Caenorhabditis elegans: one gene and its partners. The protein of the gene in region 1 purifies or fractionates together with the protein of each later gene. This does not show direct contact. Each region holds a gene or a part of one and is shown on either strand. Other genes may lie near its edges.

Region 1 (6,176 bases):
TACTTTCACTGAACTAAGTTTTCTTTTACGAAACGGTCAAAATGTGCTTCCAAATAATGATAGTAACATTTTTCAAATAAAAAAAGAAAGAGTTGACTGTCCATCAATGCTATTAGCTTCGCACACAGTTTCTTTGTGTTCCATCGTCGAGCTGTCTGCGTAACTCGTTTAGGTGCACTGTCTCGTGTTTCATACTCTGCGTCATTCCGTTTTCGCCATTCGGTTCGTCGCCGGCGCCATAGCCAATCGATTATTTGGTTCTTCAAGGCAGTAGTCGCCCATCTCTTCATGTCTCCTCGCGCTCCCTTCGGAAGAACACTGATATCTCTTCTCGCTCCTTCTCGACGTCTTCTTTTCCTCCCCCACCATGTCTTCTGCTTCTCCACCGGCTGATGCTGTCGTCGCCTCATGCTGCACACGTCGTTGACACTCACAGGCCCGCACACACATGGAGGGAGTGCTCCATCTCTCGTTTTTGCCGCTTAGAAAATGGATGTATATTGTTTTTTAATCCATCATGATTCCTTCCGTCTCCGTTTTTCACTTTTTATTACATTTTGCCAATTGGATTTCTGTTGATCACAACAATCTTATTCAGCATTTTCCTTATTATTATTTTGAAATAATCAAGCTTTTAACTTTTGAAATCATATTTGCTTTCTGATCAATAATTTTTTGTTTCTATCGGAGGACAGCTGATAAGTAAGAGGTTCCTTCTCGTGTAGTCATGAGTAGTCATTGATTATTTCCGTCTTGTTGTTGCCCTCTGGCCAGCTGCGTGAAGTTCTTCTCTGCGTGATCGCATACTGTTTCAGTCATTTTCCTATGACTCATCTGATAATTATTGATCGATCGATTGGTTATCTACCATTTTGAAAAAAAAGTTGAAGTTATAATCTGATTTTGCGCCTCACTCTGCTCATTATTATTCGGCACACACGCACACATACACACTCATTTTTGTTTCCTTTTCTGTCTCTTTCTCTCTACGGTCTGTCTATTGCTCCGTTTTTGGTTAACTGGAATTCACACAGGTGAGGGAGCGGATTAGGAAGAAACTTGAATAGAAAAAAGAATTCAGTGAAAATGAGATGATTAGAGAACTACCTCGAGCCATGTATCTCTGCTTTCGTGCTTTATGAGCATTCAGTGTTGATAGTAATAACATAATGAGATGACTGAAGAGACGCAGATGTTGTGAAGAAGCTCGAATTAATCTCGCGCGTTTGCTCTGCGCCGATGGATTAAGAGTCCCTTGGTTGGCAGACGAGATCTCGGTAAGCATCATCTGCTTGTTTTCTCCAACCAAATCTTCGTGCTTTTGACCAACAATTTTTTTTTGACTAAAATGCGGCGATCAGAGAGATATTACTTATAAATTGATCTACGTAAATTAAGCATCCATTATCAACATTTTTGTGTTATTTCATTTTCTAATTTTGTTGCACTGAAATGCACTCAAAACCGGTCCCTTCCGTTTACAAATTGCAAATGCGCCCTTTCGCACCCTAGTTTTTTTGCCCGCGTTTCGTCATGTAAATTGCGATAGCATTGCGGCACCGCTGTGATTCTCGGTCATTTTTGTGATCGAATCAAACATACAAACTTTTAAACAACGTTCTTTGTCTCTAATTCTCTGACCTGAGTGTTCCATTCCTTTTGACTCTTTGAAAAAACTTTGCAGCTATTTCTCTTTCAAACAATTGTCTTAATTTCCTGTTTTACCATGTTGTGCTTTTTCTTCATCACTCGACAGATTTGTTGCCTAGCAACCTGCGGCATGAGGATTTATGCTTCTTTTTTTCCCGATGTCAATCTCTGAATTCCTAATCCAATTTTGTATATAATAATTTCCATTTTTCAGACGCATTAAAAATAGTCGTCATTCCCGTGTCTCAAACACTTTAATCTTCGTCACATCCAGTGATTAGGAAGGGAAGAGAACCAAAGAAACAACGAAAAAGAGGAAAAATTTGAATAATGGTGATGGAAGTGGACGAACCTGCAGTTGCGGCGACTACATCGCAAAATCAACCGCAGGAGCATGCGAATGACTTTGATATGGATACCTCCGAGGGACCAATTGAGAACGATGAAACATTTGAACCGGTAGATCAAATAAATTGGAAATTCAACCAGGTGAAAGGAAATATAGATGCCGATGTGCACACGGAAGGTAAAAAATTGTTACTTGAAATTTCCCTACGTTTTTGATACTATTTCTTAAAGACGCACGATTTATTCAGAAAAAAGTTGGTGGTTTAATTGCCTTGTTTTTTTTTAAAATTAAAATACTACTTAGTTCATTTTTTGCGAAATTTGTCATATTCTTTTCATTTTTCTGTGAAAATTGTTTTAAATCAGTTTTTAAAGTAAAACATTCGAAAAAAATTACCATAAACATTATTGCGCGCCGAGACCCATCTGAATTAATGCGTGCGACTTTAAGATGATATGTCAAAAATTAGTAAAAATTATGATGCCTAGAATACTGAAAAATCGAATAATTTTCAGCCGATGTGATCTCTTGTGTGGAATTTTCACACGATGGTGAATATTTGGCAACGGGAGACAAAGGAGGACGTGTTGTAATTTTCCAACGAGATCAGAGTGTAGGTTTTAGTTTTTAGAAAGACGAGAACTGTTTTAAATATTTAATTTTTCAGGGAAAGTATGTGAAAGGCGTTCGATCGAGGGAATATAATGTTTACTCGACATTTCAATCTCATGAACCTGAATTTGATTATTTGAAATCACTAGAAATTGACGAGAAAATTAATCAAATTCGGTGGCTTAAAAAGAAGAATGCAGCCAATTTCATTCTCTCGACCAACGACAAAACAATCAAGCTGTGGAAAATTAGTGAAAGAGAGCGTAAAATTGGAGACGATGCATGGAATCTGCCTAGAACAAACAGAATCAAGTATAACATTAATGATTAAATATTTTAAATATATAAATATAATTTTCAGCACTTCCTCCTTCCGAGGTCGCTTACAAATACCCTCGATCGTGCCAATGGAGTTGATAGTTGAAGCAAGTCCGAGACGAGTTTACGGAAATGCTCACACTTATCACGTCAACAGTATTTCAGTGAATTCTGATCAGGTATTTTAATAATTTTTTTTTGTGTTCAGCTTTTTTCAATCCAAAGTATACGATGAATCAAAATCTCAACAGTATAACCTTCTTCACATGTTCGGCGTATTTTTTTAACTATTCAATTTATTAGAAAAATAGTACCAGGTTGGCTGAATTCTTTTTTGTGAAAATTTAAAATGTTTGGTACTGCAAGGACCAAAATATCAATTATGTATAAGTGAACCGAAATTAAAAATTATATTCCGATTTTCAGGAAACATTCCTATCTGCCGACGATTTGCGAGTTAACCTTTGGAATCTGGAGATTACCAATGAGTCTTTCAGTGAGTTTTGAATACTTGTTTTCAAAAAATTTTAATATCGATTTCTTCCAGACATTGTCGACATCAAGCCTGCTAATATGGAAGAACTTACGGAAGTTATTACTGCCGCCGAATTCCATCCAACGCAGTGTAATTGGTTTGTATACTCTTCATCAAAAGGATCTATTCGATTGTGTGATATGAGAGATCGTGCTCTATGTGATGCGTATGCTAAAAGTGCGTTTGGTTCTGTGTATTGATTATATAAATAATATTAATTTGCAGTTTTCGAGGAACCAGAAGACCCTCAATCTCGATCTTTCTTCTCGGAGATTATTGCATCTGTTAGTGACGTCAAATTCTCACATAATGGAAGGTACTTGCTTACGAGGGACTATCTTACTGTCAAGGTAATTATTAATAATTAAAAAGAAAATTTGAACAACTTTTATATTTCAGGTGTGGGATTTGAACATGGAATCACAACCGGTAGAGACATATCCAGTGCACAATTATTTACGAACAAAACTCTGTGCACTCTACGAAAATGATTCAATTTTCGATAAATTCGAGTGCGATTGGAGTGGAGATGACAAGTAATTAATTGCAGTACTTTTTCATATTATAATTTTCTTTTTGCAGACATATTCTCACGGGTTCGTATCATAATCTGTTCCGTTCATATGCTCGTGGCAATAACCAAGATGCGAAAACTTGGGAAGCTCGGCCTCAAGAACCACATTCACAGCTCCGATCTCGATTTGTTGTACCATCAGCGAAACGGAAGAGAAACAATCTGTCATCAAGCGGTGAAACGGTAAGATTTCAATTAAATTTAAAAAAACGTCTTCATGTTTAAATGGGTCTCTGCGCGCAAAAAAAGTTTATGGTAGTTTTTATTTTTATTTTATGCGACTGCTTCTCGTTTATTTTTTATTTTTCAATATAATTACTTCGTATTTAGCGACATTTTTTCGCTAAAAATACACTTTAAACGACGTAATTTTATTGAAAATGTAAAATAAACGAGGAATCAGCCGCATAAAATAAAAGCACAACCGTAAATTTTCTTGATCGCCAAGACTCATCTGAATACATCCGTGCACCTTTAAGAATGCATGTTAAACTCTCGTGAAAATATGATAAACATATCTTACTTCAAAATCAACAAAAACCCAATTTACAGACCGAAGAGGATCTTTCATCTGATCAACTTCAATTTGATCGTAAAATATTGCACACAGCATGGCATCCAAAGGATAACATCATTGCTCTTGCTGCCACTAACAATCTCTACATCTTCTCAGATGTTTAAATTATTGTTTTCGTAAACTTGTTGGATTTCGTCCTCCCCCAATCATCATTTTCCCTTTTTCTCAATTTATCCTCAAATATCACATTCATATAACTCTAAATTTTTTTTTCATATTTTCCCCATATTTTTGTGAGTCAATTCTTTCTCAAATCCCGTCCCTTCTTTCCCGTTTTCGTAGTCCTCATGTCGACTTATAGACATTTAATCGCGTATTCAATGTTACTCGCTTTCTTTCTTTCAAATCCTTCGTCATCGTAAATTTTTGAAGTAAAACAGGAATAAGCTCTTAGTTGGTTTCTATTTTTCAACTGTTAAAGTTGTCTTTTGCTTCCAATTTGAGATAGAGTTGTACTTTATTATTCTTATAGCTTCTTTTTCTTTACTCTCTCCCTCTCTCTATCCTCTCATATCATTCTTGAATTACGTGGCCCGTTTTCTATACTTTTCCCTCACTCTTCAACTCCAGTGTTCTCTTTCTTGTCTCTTCCACCACCACTTTTAAAAAGATAACTGTAGATCCTTAACCCCGAATCATTCGGGTCGTGTCTCTCCCACTTTTAGGATGATTTCTCCTGTTAGATTCACAATGTGTTTCACGACTTAATCCTCTTGTTTGAAAGCGTGTGAAGGTATTATTCTCACCTTGTTAGCTCCATTCTGTAATTTTGAAAACTATAAAAATCGCCCAAAAAATTTTTGAAATTTTTCCGACTTTAGTTATTTTCTCTCCACTTTCTCTGTTCGTTTGTCTGTCACAAAATTACAAACTTTCAAATCAAGAATCTTGACATAAATTTTTGTATTACTTCCCTCATATTTCTTCATCATTAAATCCCCGTGGGTGTGTCTCATCATTAAGTCTTCCTTTTCCCATAAAATTGTAAGCAATATTTATTTTCCAATCATAAAAACTCATTTATTGAATGGAAATAGTCGACAAATGTACAAAAACAATAATAATAGTATCACATTTGTGGCGATGAGGATTTCAGTTCCATGGCGACGATATGTTTGACGTACTAGTACTTGTGCATCATATGTGACTTTGGAGACTGAAATAAATTAGAAAAATATATTATTGGTGTCTCGACACGACAAATTTATAAATGCGAAAATGTGCGCGCCTTTAAAGATTACTGTAATTTCAAACTATTGCTGCTGCTGAATTTTCACCGAATTGCATAGTTAGAAAAATGGAATATAACAATAAAAGCATAATTTTGAACAAATAATTAGAAAAAATTTAAAAAAAAACTCGATGAAAATTCCGAAGCAATCATAGTTTGAAATTACAGTACTCTTTAAAGGCGCACAACATTTCGCATTTAACTAAAATTTGTCGTGTCGAGGCCGCGTACCGTATTTTTGACGCGGATGTATAAGAGAATAATTAATTGAAAAAAATCGATTATATTACGTTGGATTTTGTTTTGAAAAAAGTACAAAAGTTATAACTT
Region 2 (7,591 bases), 4.6 Mb from region 1:
TTTCTTGAAGAATCCCCGGAAAAGGAAGTCAATATTTCGGCCAACGTCACTTTGCGTCGTAGTCGTCGGGGTCAGTCAACAGAGCCACCAGTCGTGAAAGAGAATTCTAATCGAAAACGGAAATCTGTTGACGAGGAAGAGGAAAATGTGCCAACAAGTTCATCTGGTAACACTGAAAATGATCCACTGTCACGCGGAGTGACTCCGTTGATTTTCGATGAAAGTAAGCTTGGTGCAGGACGTCATTGTTCAACTCCGATTCGATCACGAGAAGACGCAGATCCAAGCGATGTCACATTCTCCCTTAATTTGTCGGCTATTACCGAAAAGGAAGACTTGAAAAACAGAAGTAAGGTATTCACAATTTCTTGAATTTACAAAACGCCTTAATTTTACAGAAAGTCAAGCTTATCACCTTCACAATATCTTCGAAGAGGATGAAGAGGAAAGCTGATCAATGTCATTGTATAAATCTTCCATCGAAATTTGTCTTATTTATCTCAACTGTTTGTATTATTGTAAGATTGTCCGCTGTTTTTTCATTAAATTAATCTGTTCCTTTTATTATCTGTAATGGGATTGCAGTCAACTACCAGAAAAGAAGCATTTAATTCACAAGTACATTGATAGATGCATTAGGTGTATCTTTAGGCTGGGAAAACAATACAATCGTTACAAGTTAATCTTGTCGAGATGATAGTGTTGATAAAACTGGTTCCATTTTAATACATTAACAGATCAGTTCACTTTTTGCGAATTTCCTTCACAGCTCCTCCCATATCAGTTGCGATTTTGCCAATTTCCGTTTTGATTCTGTCTTGAAATTCGACACCAAGTGTCTGAAAATGATATTTTTCAAAATAGATTTCAATAGAAAAAGAATTTCATACCGGGATGGCGGATTTTGTCAGTTTCAGTTCCTTTTTGTACTTCTTGATTTGCTCCTCAAGCATCAAGTTATCCTGATGCAATTGTCCGAGATCTGTGATCAGTTGATCGACGGTCTCGTTCTTCCAATTGGACATATCGATTCCTTTGAATAGAATGAGCTTCTGATGGAGGAAATCGCGAAGAACTCTGGATTCATTGATGACGTTGCCAATCGTCTCCTTAAGCTCTGGACCCATTCCTGACATATTGTGAGTCTTCTTGAGTTTCTGAACAATTGCGTCGACAGCCATAGTTGATTCGTGGAGCAATTGTCGAGTAGGGCTCGTGTAATCTGGAGAATTGGTGAAAATTCAACTTCTGATGTGCATAAGTATGACTTACGAGGTTGAGCACACTTTTGATTCGATGTTTTAGTAGGCATGCCACTGACCGATGTTCCAACTGGTGGGACATTCTCGTTATTAGAGCTCATCATTTTCAGCTCATGTTCGAGAGCATCTTTCTCTAATTGAAGCTTTTCAATTTTTTCATTGACGTCTCTCATAACTTTCGCGTATTCATGCTGTTGCTCTCGTTCCCTGGAAAGACGACGACAGAGTTCATCGCAAACGAGTTGAATCGATGAGATGTTGCTGAAAATGTTCTCAAATAAAAAAAAACAAGCACGACGTTTGATAATACCTTGGGATAATCTTGGCTTTCAAAGTCTTCTTGGTTAGCTCAGATATCTCCTTACTGATACGTTCCAATCCTACAATAGCGGCATTCTCAAAATCTTCGCGATACTTCGCCAACTCAATTTCCTTCTTTCTTTCTGTCATCTTCGTAGAACAATAGTCGGCCGCAATTTCTGAAGTCGACAACTTCTCCATCTCAGTCTCCAAATGAACAATTCTTTCAAGCATTTCAGATTTCTCGGATGAAGCATGTTCAACTTTATTTTCCGCCTCTTTTGTTCTCATTCTCCACCCATTCAATTCTTCACTCAACTCATCTGCTAGATTTTGGGATTTTTTTTCTTCCTCCAGCGCGGTAGATAACTCGCTTTTCAAGAATTCATCGCTCTTCTTTGCTTCATTCAATCGCATCCCCATATCAGTAATGGTTTTCTTGAGCTCATTTTCCTCATGTTTTAGAGAACTGATGAGCTGACGAGCCTCTTCCAATGCATTTTCAGCTTTGACACGAGTCTCCTGTTCACCATCCACACGAGCCAACGCTTCATTGAGCTCGCATCGCACTTCTCCAAGCTTAGAATTAACTTGATGGAGATTGGCTTCGAGTTCAGCAAATTGACTTTTCAATGTAGAATTTTCCTCTTTAGCCTTTTGTAGCGTTGCTTCAGATACTTCGAGATCTTCAAACATGCGATTGGTGTTGATCTGCACATCCGACAATCTTCCAGACGAACCGTTCAATGGAGATCTCATATCTCGTGTACGAGCCATCTCCAATTCATTTTTCAACTCCGATACCTCATTCTGAAGCTTTTCCACTATGTCTGAATTGCTTGTAAACTTGAAGAGTGGACTATACGAGGCATTGAGAAGAGAAGATGAGGCGACATCTGGAAAATATTGATTTATGAGCGTCTCTAAAATTTATATTACCTTCAGCATCGGGTGCAATAGTGAATCTTCTCGAAGCTTCCGCAGCCTGACTAACTATCGACTTCTCGAGAATTGAGAAATTGAGTGACATATTATGAAGATCCTTCTCCGCTGCTTCCAAGATGGCAGATACATTGAGCTTGTCGTTAATACTTGTTTCAAATGCGAGCTTCATTTTCTTGATCTTATCCGCATTTGGATCACTGGATCCCATCTACAAAAAACTCAGATTTACAGATTCACAACTTGACAGTTTTCATACCCTTTCAAGAATCTCTTCAAAAAGAGCAGCAGAAGATTTAAGTCTTTCGAAAAGTCGAGCAAGAGCCTCTCTGATCTGGGACATTTTCTCTTGCATTTGCTCAACATTTACAGCTACATCATGCTGGCCTTCAAGGAACATTGCAGAAGAATCCAGAATTTGTTGCATATCGTGCAGAATTGGAATGTGACTTTGTGACACGTGAGGAGAAGCAGTCTTCGTAGAAAACGAATTATTCTGTATTTGTTCGCCAGCTCCCTCGGATTGATGGCTCTTCAGGTGAAGATGAAGTGATTTTGGTTTCTGCATTACAATCGGAGAATTCTTGAAAGACTTCTGACTGAGGAACGATTGAGTTGCATCTCTACCAGGTGGTGGCATTGACGAATTGAAGGAACCTAACAATAATCAATTTCAAAAAATCTAGGAATCAATTTTACTACCTTCAAGGGTGTCATTATGGTTGTTCTGCAGGCTGTCTTTCACTGACTCGAAATCTTCCCACATGGAGGCAAATTGTTGCTGCTAAATATTCAAGACTTTATTTTAAATAATAATTTTCATACACTTACATTTCGAACAGCAGATGATGTATCCATGAGCGGCAATTTGCTTTCTTCAAGATCATCTAATTGACTTTCTCTGGGAAGAATGCGCATCGATGTTCCGCCAGTCTCATTTCCTTGTCCAATGCTATCGACATCATTAGTCGCAATACCAGCCATCAGTCGACTTTGTCCCAGTGAAATGCTAAGATTTCCATCGCCTCCGGTCAATTGATCACAACGAATGCGGAGTTCTCGATTTTCAGCTCTCAACACATTCAATTCACCGTTCACCTTTCCTATTTGGATTTTAAGCTCGTCGGATGTCTGACCACCAAGCAACATGGAAGAAGAATCAAATGTCGAATTTTTAACCATGGTTCGAATCTCGTGCTCAAGCTTGCTACACTTGTTCATGTATTCAACGAGTGCCTGACGAGCCTTATCATTTTCCTTCTTCGCATCAGCTAACTTCGTTTCAAGATCATCAATGTAATTGAGCTGGTCTCGCGTCTGTGATTCACGACCGTTCCCGATCATGAACGTTGAATTTGGAACCATAGCGTTTCCAGCAGCTCCGAGGATTCCTTGTCCAGTGGCCGCTTCAAGCTGAGCGCGAACATTTTCTGAATCGGCAAGCCTTGCAGATTGGTCGTCAAGTTCTTGACGGAGCTGCTGAATGTGATCTTCCAGCTCAGCTACCTTGTCGATCTCAGAGAGGAGCTTTGCCTCCAGGTCGTTGATCTTTCTTTCTTCATAACCAGAGGTTAATGTGAAATCTGGATCGTTTTTCTTCAGAATGTCATCAAGAGTTCCACGAAAAGATCCGACAGTTGTGTTGTTTGCATCAGTAGCGGACAATTCCAGTTCCTTGATTCTTTCCTCCATTGCATGCTTTTGTGCCTCAAATTCTTTCATCTGTCTGGCAAAATTGTCTTCGGAAGTTTCAATTCTCGATTGCATTGCTAGCAAATCCTCTTCCATCAGTTTGTATTGCTCCATTTTCTCTTGAACATTTTCTTGGCCTAATTTGAGATCGACATAATCGTCCATAACTTCCTTAACTCTCTTCTGCGACGCTTCCTTTGCCTCACTATACCGGCGCTGATACATTTGCAGTTCTCCCTACAAACTCAAATCATTTCTAAATAAGCATATGATAAATTACTTACTCTCAGGATAGTTATTTTTGTTTTAAGCGCTTTGTTTTCTTCCCATGTTTGGATGATGGGGATGCTACGAACATCAGCAGACGAAAATGCTCCTGACAATACTTGCTGTTGAGTGGCACTGGTCGAAGACGTTCTTTTGTCTCCTTCAACATTCAGAACTGGTTGCGACATAGATCTTCGTGGCTGGCCTAAAAAACCTTTGCATTTATGCAGTTATTGATTTTAAATGTTATAATTACCCTCGACATGCTCGAGATTGGAGTCCTCGTTGAGCACAGAATTATCCTCCATTTAACGCGAAGTTTTCTGAAACAAGAAACGGGTTCGAAAACAAAATTGAGCGTTTTTTTGGGATTAAGAGTTTTGAGTCAAAATGAACAGGAGGTTGCAAAATTTGAAGCTTCAGCACCGTTCTTTGGGCGTGCATAATCATGAAAAACAAGTGCGGACCAACTTTTGTTACTATGGAAACGTAAGAATTTCGCGGACGCGGAGAAAATTCAAAATTCACGTTTAGGCGCGCGTTTTTCTGAGGCCCCACGAAAAGGGGAGCAGAACGAAAAGGGGATCTGCAAAAAGGGGAGATACGAAAAGGGGAGCAACGAAAAGGGGAGCTGGCACTGTGCCAAACGCACAAAACGCAATTTTTCTCACGCAACGCACGTTGATTTTTGAAATTTTCTTCTAGAAGATACGCTTAACAACACGCGACGCGTAACATCGGAGCCGATGCACCATGTTTCGGATCGGTATAGGTTCAAAAGTGGTAGAATTATATAATTTATTACTGATAAATCCGTTAAATGATAAAAATGAGAAAGCTCATATATTTAACATGCGACCTGCCGGTCCAAGAGTAAAACGAAGAAGTGACGATTTCCTTGCGTGGTGTCGACGTGTTGGGGTTTGATGTGCATGTGTGGTAGTACTGTAACACGCGTGACGTGTGTGTCTTTTGGCGCGGCTTTCAAACAGGAGTTTCCCGGCTTTGTCATTGTTGATGACTCAGTATTCTGCGTATTCGCGACAATCGTTGTATCGTTTTCTTCGAGAAAAATAGCGTTTGGCACAGTGCCAGATCCCCTTTTCGTTGCTCCCCTTTTCGTATCTCCCCTTTTCGTATCTCCCCTTTTCGCAGATCCCCTTTTTGCAGATCCCCTTTTCGTGGGGCCTCGTTTTTCTTGACAGAGAAAAAGTGTGCGCATGTTGCGAAATACCATGCGGCGGTATTGCTCATGCAGCCACGCCCCTTATTTTTGAATTCGAATGGAGCTCCATATGGAGGCGTTTTCGGCTCAATTCATCATTGTTTTGTAAAATTTTACATCGCAAAGTGTCAAAATATGAAGCTTATTGTAAAAACTCACAAATTTCTAACAAGTTTTTCTTTGAATCCAATGAGAACCTTCTCGATAAGTGATTAAAATTTAAAGTGAATTGTTTTCTTCCATTTTTTCACGTATAAAAAAACGTATAAAAAACAAGTAAAACAAGTTCACGCCAATGAAAAATTGTTTTTAACGATATTTAAATATTTTTGAACGTGTTTATTTCATCTCCATATTTCTCTTTTGCTTTAACATCGTGTTTTATGCTTAATTTCAGATGGAGCTGGTTTACGGGTCGGAAATCAGCTTCACGGATGGATTTGCTATAAAGCCGGCTAGAACTTTTGTGGTAAACACCAGTAAGTTTCAATTTCATTAAATAATTGTTTCTACAACAAATTTCACTTTTTTAGATGCGCCGCTTCATTCGAATGGATTTGATGTGCAACCGTCCGCAGGAGTTGCAACATTTCCGCACTGCTCAAATTACGGCGATCGGATTTTCCTGTGGCGTGCGATTGGCCAGAAACTGTTCATTGAGGAGCGTTCTTTGCTCTACTCAATCACGGATGGATCGTTGTGCATTGACTTCACACGCACACCTATTATTCCTGGAACATCGATAACAATTTTCGAGGAAGGGGTTTTATGTATTGTCGTTCCCACAGCTTCTGCAATTCATCGTTTCTACGCGAGACTCCACTCCAAAGGCCATGATGTTTGTTCTCAAAAATTTCCATAATCGAATGAGAATAATTATTTTCAGACGTTCTCAATTCTTGCAAGAATTAAAGAAGATGACGATTTCCGCCGATTCAGAACATCTCACTCCCTTTCAACACCAGGGCGCCCGATTCGTGCAAGTGTTACACATCATCCTTCAAGAAATACGGTATAAAAATGGAAATTGATTACAACCTATATTTCGAATTTTGAATTCAGATTTCTTACTGTACCGCTGAAGGGCAGTTGGTCATTGTCACATTGGGATCATACACGGAATCCAGTGATAAACACGAAGAATTCACAATGGGAGAAGTTGGTCTTCTGGGAAAACTTCTAGGTGGCACTGATAAACGAGTCAGTGATGCATGTGTTATGAAGAATCTTCGCCCGACTTCTGGAGTCACGAGAGAGCGAAAAATTTCAGTCCAATCCGATATTGTGTTCGCTGTTACCAGAGACGGATGGGTGCAAGCATGGAATGTTGAGACGAAAAAACAATTGCCAAGCACTATTGACTTGAATAACTACTTTGCTTCAGACGGAAAATCTTTGAATCGAGATCTAGAATCTGCAGACTTCGAGGAAGAAAAGTCTCCAATGGAACCAACTGAAACTGTATATTCTATCAGAGCTTATTCATTCGATGTGGATATTCTTCTGATTGTTGGATGTGATTTGGCAGTTTCGGGAAAAAGCGTCGGGATGAGAGTTCATATTCTCAAAGTTTCAAATGATCAAATTCAACATCTACAAATGTTCGAAACATCGATGTCCGTTGATGAACGACTTGTTGATCTCGAGCTTATTCAAAACTATTTCCCATCAAAGGAATCGGAAAGTCTTGATGAGACACAAGATGGGTAAGAATCGTTGTTATAAAATGGGTTTTTTTCTTGTCTAAATATAAAATTGTTTCAGGGAATTGTATAATCCTCTCACAGCTGCACTATTTTCACTTTCTGCTCTTTTCAAAAGTTCATCTGCAAAGAAAACCTATTCGATGAAACGGATCTCATTTGCTATCCAATGGAAAAAGGGACGAGTTTTCACAGATTTC
Region 3 (4,364 bases), on another chromosome or scaffold:
GCTCAAAAATGTACAAAAAGTTTCGTCAAAATGTAAGTGCCTTCTTGAATTCATCATCTAGCATGTTTTTGATGTCATTCTTTAACACCTGATGCTGAAAATCTCCGGTTTCAATCATATTGTTTACTAGATTCAGTTACTGGAGCCGTTAGTAACAAACTATTGTCATTCCGCTAGATCGTATTCCTACTTTTAATTTGAATTATAATTAGCTCACCAGTTTTTTTTTCTGTCTGAAGTTTTCGGTCTTTTTCAACAATGATTTTGTTACATAATAATTTAAAAAATCGGACATCATTAACCTTCGTTAGTTGCCAATCGATAGTTTCATCTTCTAAAACATACCGTTTTTTCTGAAATTTCGCATAAATGAGTCATCATGATTCTGCTGGGTTATGAAATGTATTTTTCTAGAAATATTCTACCTCGAACATTTTTTTCAGTACGCCCCTCTATCATAACTTGGCCGTCCCTAGCACGTCACCAGAGCTCTAAATCCTCGCCTTTTCACACCTCCTTTCTGCACACAACGCCTCTGCTGTCGTCGTTGTCGCCTTCAGCGATAACGCCAATAAACGAAAACATCGGTTCAGGAAGAGGACTTCTTCACTTCTCTCCGTCTTGTTAACAACAGACAGTGAGGGTGTTCAGTAGAGCGCAGTGAACCGCGACGCGAGCCCTTGCGATGCGGTCGCTCTTTCCTCTGCCTTATATCTTTTCTTTTTCATCTCTTTCTCCGTCACTTTCGCAATGCGATTGGTTCCTCGGCTGGTTATAGCACAGGAGTGCCGCTGCTCCTTCGCTATCTGTCGTCTGATCCTCCGTCACTGCCCAATTGGCGGGCCCCGCATCTCTCTGCAGCCCTGCTTTCTCCGCCTCGCTCTCCTCACAAAACAACAATTTTGTCGTACTCGATCATCCCGCGTTCTCTATCATTTTGATGTCTTCCACTAATGTTAAATTCATTTATTCCGTTCTCACGTGTTCCCATTACAATTGGCTTTTGCCCATTGAATATTGATTATGATTCACCGAAAATAAGGCAAAAAAAACACAGTTTTATGATTTTTTTTTTCATTTGAAGAGTTTCAGTTACATAATTAGGTTTTTTACCGTATCAACGTTTGCCTAACAATTAAAATATTTTAATTCTCGTTAGAACATAGATTGACCCCTATTGTGAAACATAATTAACAACATTTGTTCTTTGCCTTATCGGAACGGAATGAAATTCCGTATGGTTTGGTGGGAGGTAGAAACGCAAACAGCGAGTTATCGATTTCCTCTTTTTCCTATGAATATTTTTCAGCGCGTGATTGTTGTTCATCTTTCACTTCTTCGTCTAAAATTGAGAATGGACACTTTTTGACACTAGTAACTAATCCGGTCTGGCATTTAGTAACATTGAAAAATAATCCATAAAAACTACACATTTTATTTCTATGTTCTTGTTTTCTTTTCTTAACCTGTTCACGATTGATTTTCCGTCTTTTTTAAAACTTGTGCTTTACATCATTTCATTAACTGTCTCTCCTCCAATTGTGACGTTTTCTTTTTCGTTATAAGATGCTGTTGGAGCAAGGGGCACTTAATCCCTTTTGTCTTGCAATCCTATCAGTTTATACGGAAAGAAGAATCCGCTGAAAAGTATTGACTGTGAGGCAACAGCGTGAGTTTCTGCTCTTCACGCTTTCTCCGACTCGTGCTCCGTTGCTATAGCTGCCCACGTTGTCTTTCTTCTTTCTCTATGCGTTCTTATCATTCAAACTTTTTTATACTTCTAATTTCTTGACCAACAAATAAGTTTTCAGTAGTATGGCTGCTGCCCCACCATCTGCGGATCCGCTTGATAAAGCACTAATCGTCGATGTAGATCAGTGGATTGAGCAGTTATACGAATGTAAACCACTATCGGAGAATCAAGTCAAAACGTTATGCGAAAAGGTTTGTTGATACAGTTTTGTGATTGTCAAAAATTAATTTTTTTAAGGCGAAAGAGATCTTGGAAAAAGAGCCGAATGTGCAAGAAGTCCGGTGCCCTGTGACAGTGTGTGGTGACGTTCACGGTCAATTCCACGATCTGATGGAGCTGTTCAAAATGGGTGGAAAGAGTCCTGACACGAATTACCTTTTCATGGGAGACTACGTCGACCGGGGGTATTATTCCGTCGAAACAGTTAGTCTGCTTGTCTGTTTGAAGGTACAGTTATCACAATATAGTATGGAAATTATTATAACATCTTTAAAAATTCAGATTCGATACAAGGATCGAGTAACACTGCTCCGCGGAAATCACGAGTCGCGACAAATCACTCAGGTAATTAAAATCAATTTATTTCAAAAATTATTATTTTCTTGTTAGGTCTACGGGTTCTATGACGAGTGTTTGAGGAAATATGGAAACTCGAATGTGTGGAAGTACTTCACTGATCTCTTCGACTGTTTCCCACTTACCGCTCTTGTTGATGGTCAAATCTTCTGCCTTCACGGAGGTCTTTCACCGTCTATTGATACTCTTGATCACATCAGAGCTCTTGACCGCATTCAAGAGGTAAGTTATTGTGGAAATCTACCTTTAATAGTTACTAGCCTGAAATATTTCAATAATAGAAAAGTTCTAACATTTTCATCACCGAAAATCATATATTTTTAAAGGTTCCACACGAAGGACCAATGTGCGATCTTCTCTGGTCTGATCCAGATGACAGAGGTGGCTGGGGAATCTCTCCACGTGGAGCAGGATACACATTCGGTCAGGATATCTCGGAGACGTTCAACCATTCCAATGGACTTACTCTAATTTCTCGGGCCCATCAACTTGTCATGGAGGTGAGAAATTATTTCAAATCGATATAATTTTGCAATGATATAAATATGTTTAGGGATACAACTGGAGTCACGATCGTAACGTGGTAACAGTGTTCTCAGCACCAAACTACTGCTATCGTTGTGGAAATCAGGCAGCGATGGTGGAGCTGGACGACGATCTCAAATATTCGTTCTTGCAATTCGACCCTGCCCCTCGAAGAGGAGAACCACATGTTACTCGCAGAACGCCTGACTACTTCCTGTAGATAGATACCTCCGTTCAAATCGCCGTTTTCATTTTCTTTTTTTTCCGTATTATCCCCCTTACCCAATTAATTTCAATACTTTCTCTCACTTTTCCTCTTTTTCATCGTTTCAGTCATTATATAGAATATCGTTGTTTTTGTATCGTTGCCCAACACCATCCTATTTGACAATCCCATCTCTTCTGAAGTTGCTCGAAATGATTGTTGTGTTCTTCATCTATCTTTTTTGTTCCATTCTCTTGTCCTCTACCAAAATTTAGGCGATCAAACCGTGCTTCTCTTCTCAAATGATGCGATGATAGGGATGAAAATTTCATTGTTCATGTAAATTAATGTGGTGGGAAGAGTTTGGCGGAATCATTAGCCATTACTGAAAAAATATCTCCGACATCTCGTGTCAACCTTAGCACTCGGTTCTCTTCCTTCACTCAATGAAGCAATCAATATTCTTTTCAGTCATCCCCGTGTGAGAAAAGTTGCGATCTTCTCCGCGCACGCGCTGTACGGCGTTCGCTTCCAACATTTCTTTACTCTTTTTCTTTTCCTTCCATATTCTTACACTATTTTCCCCTCCATCCCATCCTTTTCACCACTTCCCGTCTTCCTTGTTTCTTATGATTATTATCACAAAATGCGAATGGACAACATCTCTCCCTTTTCCACTATTTTATTCCCCCATTTTGTTTAATTATAATATTATTTTTGCCCCATCAACATTTTGTTTATCATCAATGATCAATAAACTGTGTCCACATCAAAGTTTTGAATTTTCGATTGCAATGTAGAAAGCATAAAACAATACTTGTCTTGGTGAAAGAAAAAACTTTAAATCGAATTATTTTGGTTCCAGAAAATGAGTGAACCAAGTTCATCATGGTGCAATCCAATGGCAGTTTCAACGTTAGGAAGTGGAAATCTTCGTGACGCTCTGAAACTTCCACCAGGGGAAGATAAAAATGAATGGCTCGCCGTAAATAGTAAGTTTTTGCTAAAAAAAACTTTGACATTTTTTTGCACAGCTTGGTAATAATAATTTGTAATAAAACAAAAAATAATTTATAATAAAACAAAAACTGCTAATTGTGATTTTTTTCGAGTTGATCCAATTTTCTCAAAAAATACAAAAAATTGGATAAATTTCCTACAGTAATCTTAAAGGCGCGTACACGAAAACAAATAAACACTGACGCGCGGCGAGACTATTTCTCAATTTTGGTTCTCCCTTTAAAAAAGCGGAAACATACAGTTTCTATAAGTTTTCTTTTTTAATTTTATTTTTGAAAAATTCCA

Evidence for each region. The genes of interacting proteins can lie anywhere in the genome.
Region 2: the proteins of sur-6 (region 1) and spd-5 purify together in Caenorhabditis elegans (affinity purification with western blotting, with the first as the bait; one study listed by BioGRID). This does not show direct contact.
Region 3: the proteins of sur-6 (region 1) and let-92 purify together in Caenorhabditis elegans (affinity purification with western blotting; 3 studies listed by BioGRID, with this or other methods). This does not show direct contact.

Annotation. Positions count from the first base shown.
Region 1 is NC_003279.8:9,752,258-9,758,433, forward strand, and holds sur-6 (Serine/threonine-protein phosphatase 2A regulatory subunit sur-6), read left to right. Parts: upstream 1-1,864; 5' UTR 1,865-1,980; coding exon 1,981-2,176; intron 2,177-2,514; coding exon 2,515-2,612; intron 2,613-2,666; coding exon 2,667-2,923; intron 2,924-2,972; coding exon 2,973-3,108; intron 3,109-3,355; coding exon 3,356-3,425; intron 3,426-3,476; coding exon 3,477-3,641; intron 3,642-3,689; coding exon 3,690-3,814; intron 3,815-3,863; coding exon 3,864-4,000; intron 4,001-4,046; coding exon 4,047-4,221; intron 4,222-4,590; coding exon 4,591-4,719; 3' UTR 4,720-5,631; downstream 5,632-6,176. Other genes in the region: F26E4.2 (Tnp_DDE_dom domain-containing protein), read right to left, coding at 5,632-5,771. UniProt on the Caenorhabditis elegans protein: Probable regulatory subunit of serine/threonine phosphatase let-92.
Region 2 is NC_003279.8:5,170,751-5,178,341, forward strand, and holds spd-5 (Spindle-defective protein 5), read right to left. Parts: upstream 5,905-7,591; 5' UTR 5,848-5,904; intron 4,787-5,847; 5' UTR 4,772-4,786; coding exon 4,720-4,771; intron 4,669-4,719; coding exon 4,481-4,668; intron 4,434-4,480; coding exon 3,336-4,433; intron 3,289-3,335; coding exon 3,207-3,288; intron 3,162-3,206; coding exon 2,764-3,161; intron 2,716-2,763; coding exon 2,502-2,715; intron 2,459-2,501; coding exon 1,573-2,458; intron 1,524-1,572; coding exon 1,273-1,523; intron 1,223-1,272; coding exon 891-1,222; intron 840-890; coding exon 744-839; 3' UTR 552-743; downstream 1-551. Other genes in the region: Condensin-2 complex subunit hcp-6, read left to right, coding at 11-354, 399-551; npp-6 (NUP160 middle TPR domain-containing protein), read left to right, coding at 6,086-6,167, 6,222-6,526, 6,575-6,700, 6,751-7,394, 7,453-7,591. UniProt on the Caenorhabditis elegans protein: Plays a central role in centrosome maturation and mitotic spindle assembly during the first division of the zygote. Required for the centrosomal localization of air-1 and zyg-9. Probably not required in late embryogenesis and during larval development.
Region 3 is NC_003282.8:11,856,631-11,860,994, forward strand, and holds let-92 (Serine/threonine-protein phosphatase 2A catalytic subunit), read left to right. Parts: upstream 1-1,811; 5' UTR 1,812-1,815; coding exon 1,816-1,944; intron 1,945-1,990; coding exon 1,991-2,200; intron 2,201-2,254; coding exon 2,255-2,317; intron 2,318-2,362; coding exon 2,363-2,551; intron 2,552-2,655; coding exon 2,656-2,829; intron 2,830-2,882; coding exon 2,883-3,074; 3' UTR 3,075-3,830; downstream 3,831-4,364. Other genes in the region: mob-1 (Mob1/phocein), read left to right, coding at 3,928-4,051.